Linked DNA regions of Drosophila melanogaster. The main gene of each other region encodes a partner of the protein of the gene in region 2 in a complex. Each region holds a gene or a part of one and is shown on either strand. Other genes may lie near its edges. A codon is read from its position in the direction of its gene.

Region 1 (5,288 bases), on a different chromosome or scaffold from region 2:
GCCAAGATTCGTTTTAATACAAGCTGGATTAGTGCATACGTCACAGGAAATGAGGAATTAGCTGGGGTTATGTTTTTTTTTTCATAGGGCTTAATAAAATGAGTTTCATAAGTCCGAAAAAGGAGCGAATGACTAAGGTTAGCAGTCTACTCAATTGCGTTAAATACTTCAAAGCTTCGGAGACTAGTTGCAGCTCTAATCGAATTTTGAAAAATTTTGGGATGTTTTTCTTTTTTTCATAAGTGTGAGTGATTGGCGGTAGATAAGCGGTTGGGTAAGAACATAGAACGCATACTTGTGTGCCACCCTTGATCGGCAATTACTTACGTAGATCAGCTTGTTGTAGTATCTCTGTCTCAAGTTATGGAGCACAGAGGCATCGTTAAGGTATGTCAAGTTGGACATATCCTCGGCTTTTTCGTATTTCGGGGGGTTCACTTGCTGGAGCAGATCTTTCTTTAAGTCTCGTGTCTGTTTATCATTTTCGTTCGGTTTGTCGGATTCAGTTCGATTGGTTATGTTTAGTTTTTGTACAACATTTGTTGGTTAGACGTTGGGTTAGCAGTTCGTTTTTGAGATTGAGAGAGAGAGAGAAGAGATACCCATACATTAGTGAGTTTCTGGCAGTACAACACTTACGTAGATGAGCTTAGCATAGTAACGCTGACGCAGATTGTGCAAAACGCAAGGAGTGTTAAGCACGGTCATGTCGGCCATATCTTCAATTTTTTCGAATTTTGGTGGATTGACTTTTTCCACCTTCTCGGATTTGATATCTCGTACCTAATCGTATATGTAGGCGAAATCTATAGTTTCATTCTAATTTTGTGGCTACATTATAAGCTATTGAAGTGTATGAGGTCATGACAAAGTCCCAGTCTTATGCTATCCATTGAAAAACCCTTCTTGTAGTAGTAGTAGTAGTACCAAGAAGATTTTCCCATTGGGTAACAATTGACTAACACTTTAGGTCGACCATAAGACTCTTCAATAGCTTTTTTTTTTTTTTTTTTATGCTGAAGCCTCGTGTAGACGATGACTTTACCTCTCCACCCTGCAGACCAACGGAGACGATATCGCCCTTGGTGGCCTTGATCTCACCAAGGAGATAACCCTCCTTCTCGTCGGGGATCCAGCAAGACTTCTTCGAGTCATAGGGTTTCGATTGATCGATACGCCTTTGCTCCAAAGACACGAACAGGTATGGGGTGGGATCCTCATCCTCCTGATTTGCGACTGGCTTCGGCATCTTGCTTAAATTTCGTTTAGAAACTTAAAAACTCGAAAAATAATATTGGGACTTTTCAAAATTTCTTTGTTAATCGCGTCGTGAGCCCAAAACTTCCCTGTAAATATACAAAAGAAAAATAATATTTATTATATGGTTCTCAGAAAAGCATACTATTTTTGGAATTTTGTTTCGAAGTCTGATTCTTTTATGGATTTTATGCTTTTGACCCATTTTGACAGCAGCAGCAATAGCGGACACTATAACAGTTCTACGCGTGTGTGCGTGGATAGGATTTCGAAATTTAATTTCGATTTCCAAATATGAACATTTTTCCCGTTTCGCGCTTTCGAAATTCCCGTTACCGTAACCGGATATTTATTTATGTGTGGCTTTGATTTTATCTCACACCTCAAAGTTAATTAGGCCTGGTCGGTGCTTGTGTTGTTGTTTTTGTTATAAACAGACAACAAGTGAATTGTGTGGGTTGTCGCCTAAATATAGATCACGGATCCGATACGAATATGTATATGTATACCACTTATATATATATATATCAGAATGCTTTGCATATATACGGATTTTCGGGGCGTTGGTATTTGTTACGTAACGCCAATTTTCATTTAGATATTTGTGTACATTTCTCCAGGTTTCTTTGTGAAAAAATCTACAGACTATTGATACGCCAAAACAATGCTTATTATTACAAATGTAGAGAGGTTAAACTGTCACCACAACTCACTCAACTGGTAACTACTACCGTTTGGAACGCGATTTCGATATTTTGAACAGGTATCTCGATATGGTGGCGTGTTCTCATACAAGCAATTCACGAGATCGCAATGATTCCTTTCAGTAAACTTCGAAGGCGGAACGATTTTCGACAATCCACACTAAATCGACAATCGAAAATTCGATTCGAATTGACGCGAACTTTTAACGAATGCGTTATTTTTAAAATTCTCGAAATTATTTCGAAACTAAAGTCACATACATATTCGTCTATATGTAATTCGTAATTTCGAGAAGCTTTTTGGCTCATGCTACCACATGGCACACATAGACATAATGTATAAGTATTGGCGATCTCTTTCTAATGTCTTTGGTTATTTTTAAAACATATTCGAAATTATTTCGCCCATGTATATGAGCCGACAACGAATTCGAGTATTCTAAATCTATTTTCTATAGTATGCATACGCATATGTCTCGGCCACACAGGTATTTGTGTATGAAATCATTTCGCCAGTAATTCGAAATGGCTATTACAGCATTTCGAACTCACATCGAAACACGAATTTTTCATTTGATGAAGTAACAGCTGGCTGTCTCTTTCTGACATTTAAATGATCTATTTGCTTTAGAATTTTTTAAGTAGTCGAAATTTAGAACGATGAAAGTCTTTTATTCCAAAATTCTTGGGCGAGAAAGGATAAACTAGTTTTTTGTGAGAGTCCTAAAAGTAAGAAAGAAGTTTCCTTATATCCTTGTTACTTCACTTTCAGATTTTTTCGCTGATATGATCGAAAGTCAAAGATTTGTTACACAAGAAGTTGAAGATAGTTGCATACTTCTCAGAAAACAAATTAACGCCTATAGGTTATGTTAAGTAACTGATGTACTTCCTAAGAAAAGATTGTTATTTGTAATCCAATTCGATACGATAATCCGAGGTATTCCGGTTCACTGTTCTGATTGTCACAGAGTTTTAATAGATCCGTTTTCGCTCGGATCGTAGTTAAAGCACCACACACACACTTTTTTAAATTTCTCGATTTTGTTGCATATATAAATATATATAGGTAGTAATAATTATTTTAGTTTTATGCTTTTTGACCAAAAGGTCAAATTGTTGCTGCTGCCGCTGATGCTGCTGCTACCGCTACTGCTGCTGGGTGGTAATATCCAAAAATCAGAGATCGCACATCAAAGGTGTTGCACTTACGCGCTCGAAAGCCGTTCTGAACCGTGCAACCGGTAAACTTGCCTTTTATACGGGGCAACTTGATACCCATGGATCCCGTAAGACCCCGAAAGCTTTTCGATTCGACGATCGGTGTGCGTGGCGCTGTTTCTGTTTCGGTTTTTCTTGCTCCCTTTTTCGGTCTAGCACTTGGCTGCTCTGATTCCTATTCCTCTTCTCTAGCAAGTGGGCATTTCTATGGGGGATTGCGGGATGGTGGATATGGTATATGTGTGAGCATATGATGCAATCAGGATCGTTGCGGAATCGAGAGCGGAAAGCTCCTTCTCCGACGATTGCCATTGCGTAGGCTCTCTCGCAATTCTCCCATTAGTCAAATAGTAAAATTCATTTCAATGACAACTTTTCCGCCGTGAGGCAATTCTTCTCCGCCGGAATCCCTCGCTCTTTCCAAGGGGAGCTTTCTTTTTACTTATTTCACATATCATTTCTAGACGCACACATGTGTGTATGGCATGGCATGGTGGGATCTTTATTTGTTTTTCTCGGTGATCATTTTTCGCTTTTTGTTCTGGTTTTGGTTTTTGGTCACCTCAATGCCAATCCGATCTGGCACCAATGTGGGTGGAATACAGGGGGAATGCTTGCGATCAGGCGGCGCTATGTGGTTTTCCTCCTAATCTGCGATCACTTTACGATCAGTGGCTAAACAGCTGTTCGAGAAGACCGATCGTATGCTATCAATGGCTACAAACATTCGTTTGGTCATCGTTCAGTTGTAGAACGAAAAAACCCGATCCTTTGAGTTAATGATTGATGATCTATCTAGCCTAAGGATCGGCCATAGCAAGCACATGTCCGCCAAAAGTAATGATGTGAACTTCAAAATAACATAGATGGGCTAGAACATGCAAGCAATTGCAATGCACGCAAAAAAAACGAAATAAAACACATAGTTGAAGAGATACTTTAGATATAGATAGATAGACAGAGAAATGCCACATCAAATCAATGTAGTCGGCGTCCTTCAGAGCAATGCGATGCGAAAATCTTTAGGTTTCAATGCTAAAATCCAATACAAATACGATTGCAAATACGAGTGCATTATGAAATTCGTGTTGTAGCGATTTGTCGAGAATTTATCAAATCTATAATGCTGACAAAGAGAATTATGATAAATGCCAACAGAATTGAAATAGTCTCCCCTCTTACAACGATGTCAAATTCCGACACAGAAATTATTCATAATTTTAAGCAAAATTACAAAATTTCATGTGCAACATTTTTGGCAAAGAATTATATGATAAATGTATATACACCCACTGCAAGGTATTTTCGACAAATACTTTTCGTAATGAGTTGGTCCGTCTTGAATATTCAATATTTAACAATGATTATTGTGTAGCGGAAAAAGAATACGCAAAAAAACAACTCATGAATTCGGACAAAAACAACTTTCAAACATTTTTTGAGGAATATTTATAGTTTGAAAAAGATTTCAGTTCTCATTCAAGTGTGAGTGTTTTTTTCCTTTATTTTCGGTGCAGGGTTTGCTGCTCTCTAGTCTTTTCTCACATATAAAATTATAATACTTTTTGCTAAGTTTCTGAAACAAAATCTGTGACATTGTCGAGCAGAATTGTGGGCAAAAAGACAAAAACATAAATTGAGCATTTAAAACAAATTCCAAGAACAACAAACAACAATTTAGCACCTGACAATAAATTATTTTGGGGTTATTTGTTGTACTTGTAAAGCCAATGAGTTGGTATAAGTTAATATTTAACATTTAATAATTAATAAAAAAAACCTTTAGTTACGATACATTTTGGTCTTCTTTATTATTCTAGATGGTTCTTCCCTTGCTCCCTTAAGATATTCGATGCGAAAAAAGCGAATCCAATATTCTGCTCCCAATTTTTTGTTCGAAAAGCACAAAAACATTTTCGTTTTGAGTCATTGACGCAAAGCAATTTTTGCATTTTAGTGTCAAGATGCTGTTTCTTCTTCTTGTGTATTTTGGCACTGGTGGGCCACCAACATTTTCCCAAGAGGGGTGGTGGGGGGTGCACATGGGGTGCTTGTCTACACGAGGCAGCAACAATTATTGCTTGCAATGGGCAATTTCAAAGATGC
Region 2 (5,648 bases):
CCTAGTGGTGGCACAGCATCCAGCAGTGAGCTTTTCTCCAGGACATCCGCCATATTGAAAGTCGAACGAGTGTGTGTGTGGTGTGTCTGTATTTGTTGCACTCACGGGAAAACTCGAAAAGGACTACAGATCTGTCGGTATTTTTCCTGTGTGTGTGTGTGTGTATCTTTGGGCTAGTCCTTTTCACTTGGAATAATATATTTTGGGTTCACTTTCGATTCGAGAAATGCTCGCGGAAATATATTTTGAAACGGCGTAAATGACAATATTTATATTTTGACTTGGCGCACTCACGCTCACTTACTTCACTGGCACTCTGCTAATTTATTTGGATTTTTGCTGGTGCAAATTTTTAAAAAAAGCGAGACAGCTCCCGCTCGGTCGGCTTGTCGGTTTGTTATCTCGATTTCAACTGATTCGTAGTCGTCGTATTTAACCGAAACTTTTCTGACACTTTTTTGATTCGACGTCGACGCAAAAGCTCAGCGGAATCTCAACCCCCAAGCTATTTTTGTGATTAGTTTATAATTGTTATTGTTGACTAGACGAGGAAGGTAGATACCAGGATGCGGGTATTTCCACCCCTTCTTACACTTACTATTTTAATATAATAAATAAATAATAATTACGAAAGTAGAGACAAAAACCATATTAACCAAGCTCTAAGCTTAACAAACATTTCGAAAGCTCTCTCTCGTTGAGAAAAAGCGAAAACGACATTTTAGTACACGGTATTTTAGTCTTTCGCCTGCTTCTCGTTGGTGGTTTGTGTCTCAGCTGAAGTATTGCAGTCTGCGGCGAAAATATCTAGATATTTCTTTGTGGATTCAGTATAAGATTTTTAAACTTTCTCTATTACTTTTAGTTTATTAAACAAGTCAGCCACATCTTGTATTAATATTGGCTGCCTATATAGCATAATCCCAAATTTTCCACCACCCTGATCTTCTTTTATATTGATTGTGCAACACCTCATCGGCCGCACAATTATTCTTAGTGTTTATTTAAATACATTTGACTTATTTCACTTTCACACATTCACTTGGTAAATTGAGAACGCAAAAAGGCCACAATTTACACATTTGGCGTTTTGCTAACTGCCCTTTTTGGACGCTTTCGGATGTTGAATTTGCCTAAACATTATATTATTTGCTATTTGGTTTATTCACGTCTCATATAAAATAATCATTAACTATTGCTTTGCTTTTGGCTGAACCAACAAAATAATTCATAACAAAATAATGTGCACAAAACTTTGAATATTTTTCAGTTTTTTTGTTTTCGTTATTTTATAATTTAAATTTTTTTATTTTTTAAAAAATAATATTATCTTGAAGTTCAATTTTGCAGTTGTAGTAGCAGAAGTAATTTTTAATTAAAATAATATACGAGAGAGATAGAGAGAGTTAGCGATGAATATAACATCTATGGAGAATGGTTGTCGCTAAAAGTTTGTTGGTGTTGTTGTTGTTGTTGTTGTTGTTTGTTGGTTGTTGTTGAAGCTGTTGTTTTCAACTATTTTAGCTGATCTGGTCTGTCACACATTCTGGCGAGGAATGCTGTGGAGTAGACGAAGAAAAGGGCCATATTAGCAAGGTATTCCCCAAATTTGTTGGACAAGTAGACATCCAGAGATCGGCGAAGTGGCCATGGGCTCCATCCCTACTTACTGTTTAGTCGAAGACGACAGGATCGCTCATCAGGCGCTGGACGAACTCTGTTTTCATTCAATTTCAAGTGGATCGGCGACAAACGGCGGGTAAACAAGACGCAATCACCGTGCAGAGACCATACGTTTGACATTCGGGAGTTGGTCGGTTTTTTTTTTTTTTTGCGAGTGTAGTGTTGGAGGAATGGACACGCAAACATGGATACACGCATACACATATTTTTAGGTTTGTTGGTGTTTTTCAGGTCGAGTTGGTGGTACAAAGTGCACAGTGCAGAATGGTGGGGATTTTTTTGGTTTGTGCGCAGACAAAGAGTGACATGTGGAATAGACAAACGGCGTTTACAAATCGTATATGCACAAAAAACATTAGATGAGTATCGTCCATTGAACGAATACTTACGAGAGTAGGGGATAAATCCTTCATCATCCTCGGGATCCATGCAGTCAGCGAACAGGGTCTCCACCTGCTCGTCATCCAAGCTCTCACCTGTAATGCACACAATGATTTAGAGGGATATCCCAGGATATATGCATGTTGATTACTCACCAAGCGCCAGCAGGGCGTGCTGCAGCTCAGCCAGCAGCATGGTGCCGTTCTCCTCCTTGTCGTAGAGCTTCAAGCACTCAATGAAGTCCTCGTAGCAGCCCTGCTCCTTCTCCTTCTTGACCTGTGAGTAGATGGGCAGGAACTCATCCAGCTTGATCTTCTTCTCGTTGCGCTTCTTGGTGCCGCCCAATTTCTCGATCAGCGCCAAGGTGGGGTTCAAGTTCAGAGCGCGGAGGGCATCACCTAGGTCGACGGCATCAATGCCCTCACCGGGGGAGCCCATGACTTCGAAAACGAATTCGACATCTGCGCAAAAGGAACTCGATTAGCATTTACATCTTCATGTTCATGTTAGTCGATCAAACGTAAATCCCATCAAATTTTTGTTTTTATTCGTTTCATTTTATTATGCTGCCTCATTAATTGTTTTTAAAAATACTTTAGCAGAGGTGGGTGTTGACCACCCTTTTTATTTTCGAAAACGGGGTCGATGTGGTAACCCTGAAATTTCTGGTACGCACATTTTTGGTCATCATGAAAATCTTGACATGGCTGCTGGGCATTGCCTACTTAGTGTGTGAGTGTATGCGTGAGTGCGGATCTGGGAGAGTTGCCAGCCCCGAGAACACACTACGTATACGTAATCCGACACCCGAACCGAACGCCTTCGCCCTCGTCTGCGCTATATACACAGTATATAGGCGTATATACACACACAAAGTCGCATAGTTTGCTCATCTCTTTCGCTGTGCGTTTGATCGAAAATAAATCTAAAGAAATAACTTGGCCAAAATTAGATCTCTAAACGAGAAGCATTTCGGCTCGAAGACGAGGATCGCGCGTTCGGGTTCGCGACATATACACACACGATTTTCATTGTTTTCCGCGGCTTTTCTATAACGCAAATCAAACTTAACTTTGCACTAGATTTTCTCTACCGGAATTGTGTTGGCAACCTTTATCCGTTCTGGTTTTGGATGGTCGATCGATGAAAATAGCTCAGGCGATGCATATAGACGACAGCATTCCTTAATGAAAATTTTCCGCATAGTGTTATATATATAGGCATGCGTATATGTATGCGATATATTCCAAGTGATTACGAAATATGTTCACCGACTTTTGTGTACTTTTTGTTGTGTATCTCACACGCGCACATTATGTAATCTGTATTTTTATGGATATTATAATACTTGTTTTTAGTCCTTTCTGCTGGGTTTTCCGTTACCTCGTTCATTTAATATGTTGGTTTAACTTTGATGGATTTCGTTTGAGGTTAAAGATAATCCTTTTCGTGCGGGGTTTTAACTTACTTTCAACTTCACGCTTTGGAACATCAGCCTGTCAACGGAATCGAAAAAGATTTGAGAGTTTGGCATTAGTTCGAGTGTGGAAAATCTTCAGTTTTCAGCTGCTGCATATATTTATGTACATCTATATCACTGGATATTGGTGGAAGATGTGTGAAGACTCCTTGGCCGACTGGGCACTCACCATTTTGTCTGTTTGATGCGAAAATCAACTGTATCGCGGATGAGCTCGGTCTCGACTGAACGTTATTCGTCAGTGGCAGTACGGCAAGGTAATTCTGAGGTGAAAGCCAACCAGCCGATCGCCGAGCACTCAGACACAGATACAGATACATTTACAGCTATAGCTTCGAAAACGAATTCAAAAACGAATACGAATACGAATGGATGACGAAACGCTCGCTCTTTTCCTGCGCAAGGCTATACACACACCAAAATATATGCTGTAGTATGTGCGATGGCAAGAATTTACTTTCATCTTGGGGGAACTTTTTCGAATGCCACTCTCTTTTGGGATCCCATGGATCCCAACGACCACCAGATATTGGGAGGCTCTCCTATGGAGCCAGAGCCATTTGTTGTCCGCTCTCTAGCCGGGCTATTTTTAAGCATTTTGTTTTTTTTCGGCTATTCTGTGAATATTTCTTTTTATTTCGTTCGTGAAGGCAAAATAATAATCGCTTGTGGCATTCCCAGCCGGATAGTGTTGAATATCATTCGATGTTACAGATGATTTTGCAGATAATATAATATTTTCTCATTCAGGCGGGAGGAGAATGGGTTTGAGAATTGATTGTTTAGCGCTGCGCAATAGATTGAGCTTCCATGCTGGGGTTTTACGGGGTATGTTTAGATGTTTAGATGGGGCTATGGGGCTATGTACTATAAATGTGGCCTATACATGTATATATTTATACACTCATCGACCCTGATCGTCTTTTTGGCAAACGTACGTATTTCTCAGGTCTTGCCTGTTATCATTCGAAATGTTTTGTCAGCCGGTCGTATGTGGGGGTGTTAAATGGCCGATTTCTTGTTTGTCCGCTGCCAGAACACCTGAACACCAGCCTTTTTCAATATTTATACACTATACATGCTCCAAAAGCATACTATTCCTCGTTGGCATCTCATCTACATAGAAGGCGCATTACTGGCCCCTCAGGCGCCTTCTTGTGCCTTGTGTGTGCCGCCTGTACAACATTTTAATGCGTGCTATTTATAAAAACTATGACACAGATACATGAAGCGTATTCAGAGCAAAAATGTACAGCAACAACTAAATGCTCGAATTGTTTGCATAGGCAAATGGTGGGTGGTAGGTATATAATGACCGATCAAGCCTGAAGGGTAAGCGAGGTGCTTAAAAGGCGGCAAATCTGGCAAGGAAGTGGCAATTAAGCCAAGCAGGCCATTGGCTTTGCCGGCACATCCATTTCCATGCACCCATGTCCTTGACTTTCTATGTAAATGTAGATGTACACACGTCCATGTTCGTGCCATCGGACAGGTCCTTCTTTGACCCAGTTTTGAGCCCAGCTGTGTGCCCAACTTCCGGCTGATGCTCATCAGACCCACTCTCTGGGCTGTCCTGTCTCGTCCTATCTCTCAATCCATTGAGTCCTCGGCTCGGCTTTTGGCCGCGCAGCCTCCCTGGCCTTGTTATTGTTTACTCCTTGGGGCACCACCTGTTGTCAAGCGGGTAACTGGTGCATGAGTATTTAGGCCGATTTGGTCCTTGATTGAACATCTGCTATCAGCAGCCGATTGTTGCCACGAATCTGCGCAGATTAATGTGCGCAAGTCATTGATAAATAGCCCCTTGAGACTGAAATTGTGTGCTTGTATTTATAGAACTCATTTCTGTAAACAACATTTACACTAAGGGCTTTTTGTGCTGGTAATCAAGTTATTTAAAATATATCTCAAATGCTTATCTTAAAATAAGATACAGAAAGAACTTGGCAAGAACTTAGCAAGGATAAAGCGTGCTTAATCAGCTAGAAGATTAATTAATGAACAAAGGCTATGGATTTAATTTCCACTCAAGTCCGAAAGGGACAGTGACTTATTTTTGGCCATTACTACTTTAATACTACACTATTTATTCGCAGTCGCAGTC

Evidence for each region.
Region 1: the proteins of Mlc1 (region 2) and Mhc are in contact, whole or in part, in a crystal structure (PDB 5W1A), measured with the Drosophila melanogaster proteins. Residues at the interface, in NP_001287569.1 of Drosophila melanogaster: Phe14 (codon at 2,517), Val15 (codon at 2,514), Val18 (codon at 2,505), Met19 (codon at 2,502), Asp33 (codon at 2,460), Arg36 (codon at 2,451), Ala37 (codon at 2,448), Asn39 (codon at 2,442), Leu40 (codon at 2,439), Asn41 (codon at 2,436), Pro42 (codon at 2,433), Thr43 (codon at 2,430), Leu44 (codon at 2,427), Glu78 (codon at 2,325), Gln79 (codon at 2,322), Gly80 (codon at 2,319), Cys81 (codon at 2,316), Asp84 (codon at 2,307), Phe85 (codon at 2,304), Glu87 (codon at 2,298), Cys88 (codon at 2,295), Leu89 (codon at 2,292), Lys90 (codon at 2,289), Leu91 (codon at 2,286), Tyr92 (codon at 2,283), Asp93 (codon at 2,280), Lys94 (codon at 2,277), Glu96 (codon at 2,271), Ala103 (codon at 2,250), Glu104 (codon at 2,247); in NP_723999.1 of Drosophila melanogaster: Arg25, Ile26, Ser29, Asp718, Lys720, Met721, Arg722, Gln724, Ile725, Pro728, Arg776, Leu780, Gly781, Ile783, Met784, Ser785, Trp786, Met787, Gln788, Ala789, Trp790, Ala791, Arg792, Gly793, Tyr794, Leu795, Ser796, Arg797, Lys798, Phe800.

What each region holds. Positions count from the first base shown.
Region 1 is NT_033779.5:16,764,642-16,769,929, reverse strand, and holds the start of Mhc (myosin heavy chain), read right to left. Parts: upstream 3,197-5,288; 5' UTR 3,174-3,196; intron 3,005-3,173; exon of another isoform or gene 2,820-3,004; intron 2,154-2,819; exon of another isoform or gene 1,971-2,153; intron 1,347-1,970; 5' UTR 1,250-1,346; coding exon 1,046-1,249; intron 784-1,045; coding exon of another isoform or gene 640-783; intron 472-639; coding exon 328-471; intron 1-327. UniProt on the Drosophila melanogaster protein: Muscle contraction.
Region 2 is NT_033777.3:27,656,397-27,662,044, forward strand, and holds Mlc1 (myosin alkali light chain 1), read right to left. Parts: upstream 3,782-5,648; 5' UTR 3,717-3,781; coding exon 3,714-3,716; intron 3,561-3,713; coding exon 3,533-3,560; intron 2,526-3,532; coding exon 2,220-2,525; intron 2,160-2,219; coding exon 2,073-2,159; intron 1,718-2,072; coding exon 1,674-1,717; 3' UTR 1,671-1,673; intron 1,560-1,670; coding exon of another isoform or gene 1,516-1,559; 3' UTR 682-1,515; downstream 1-681.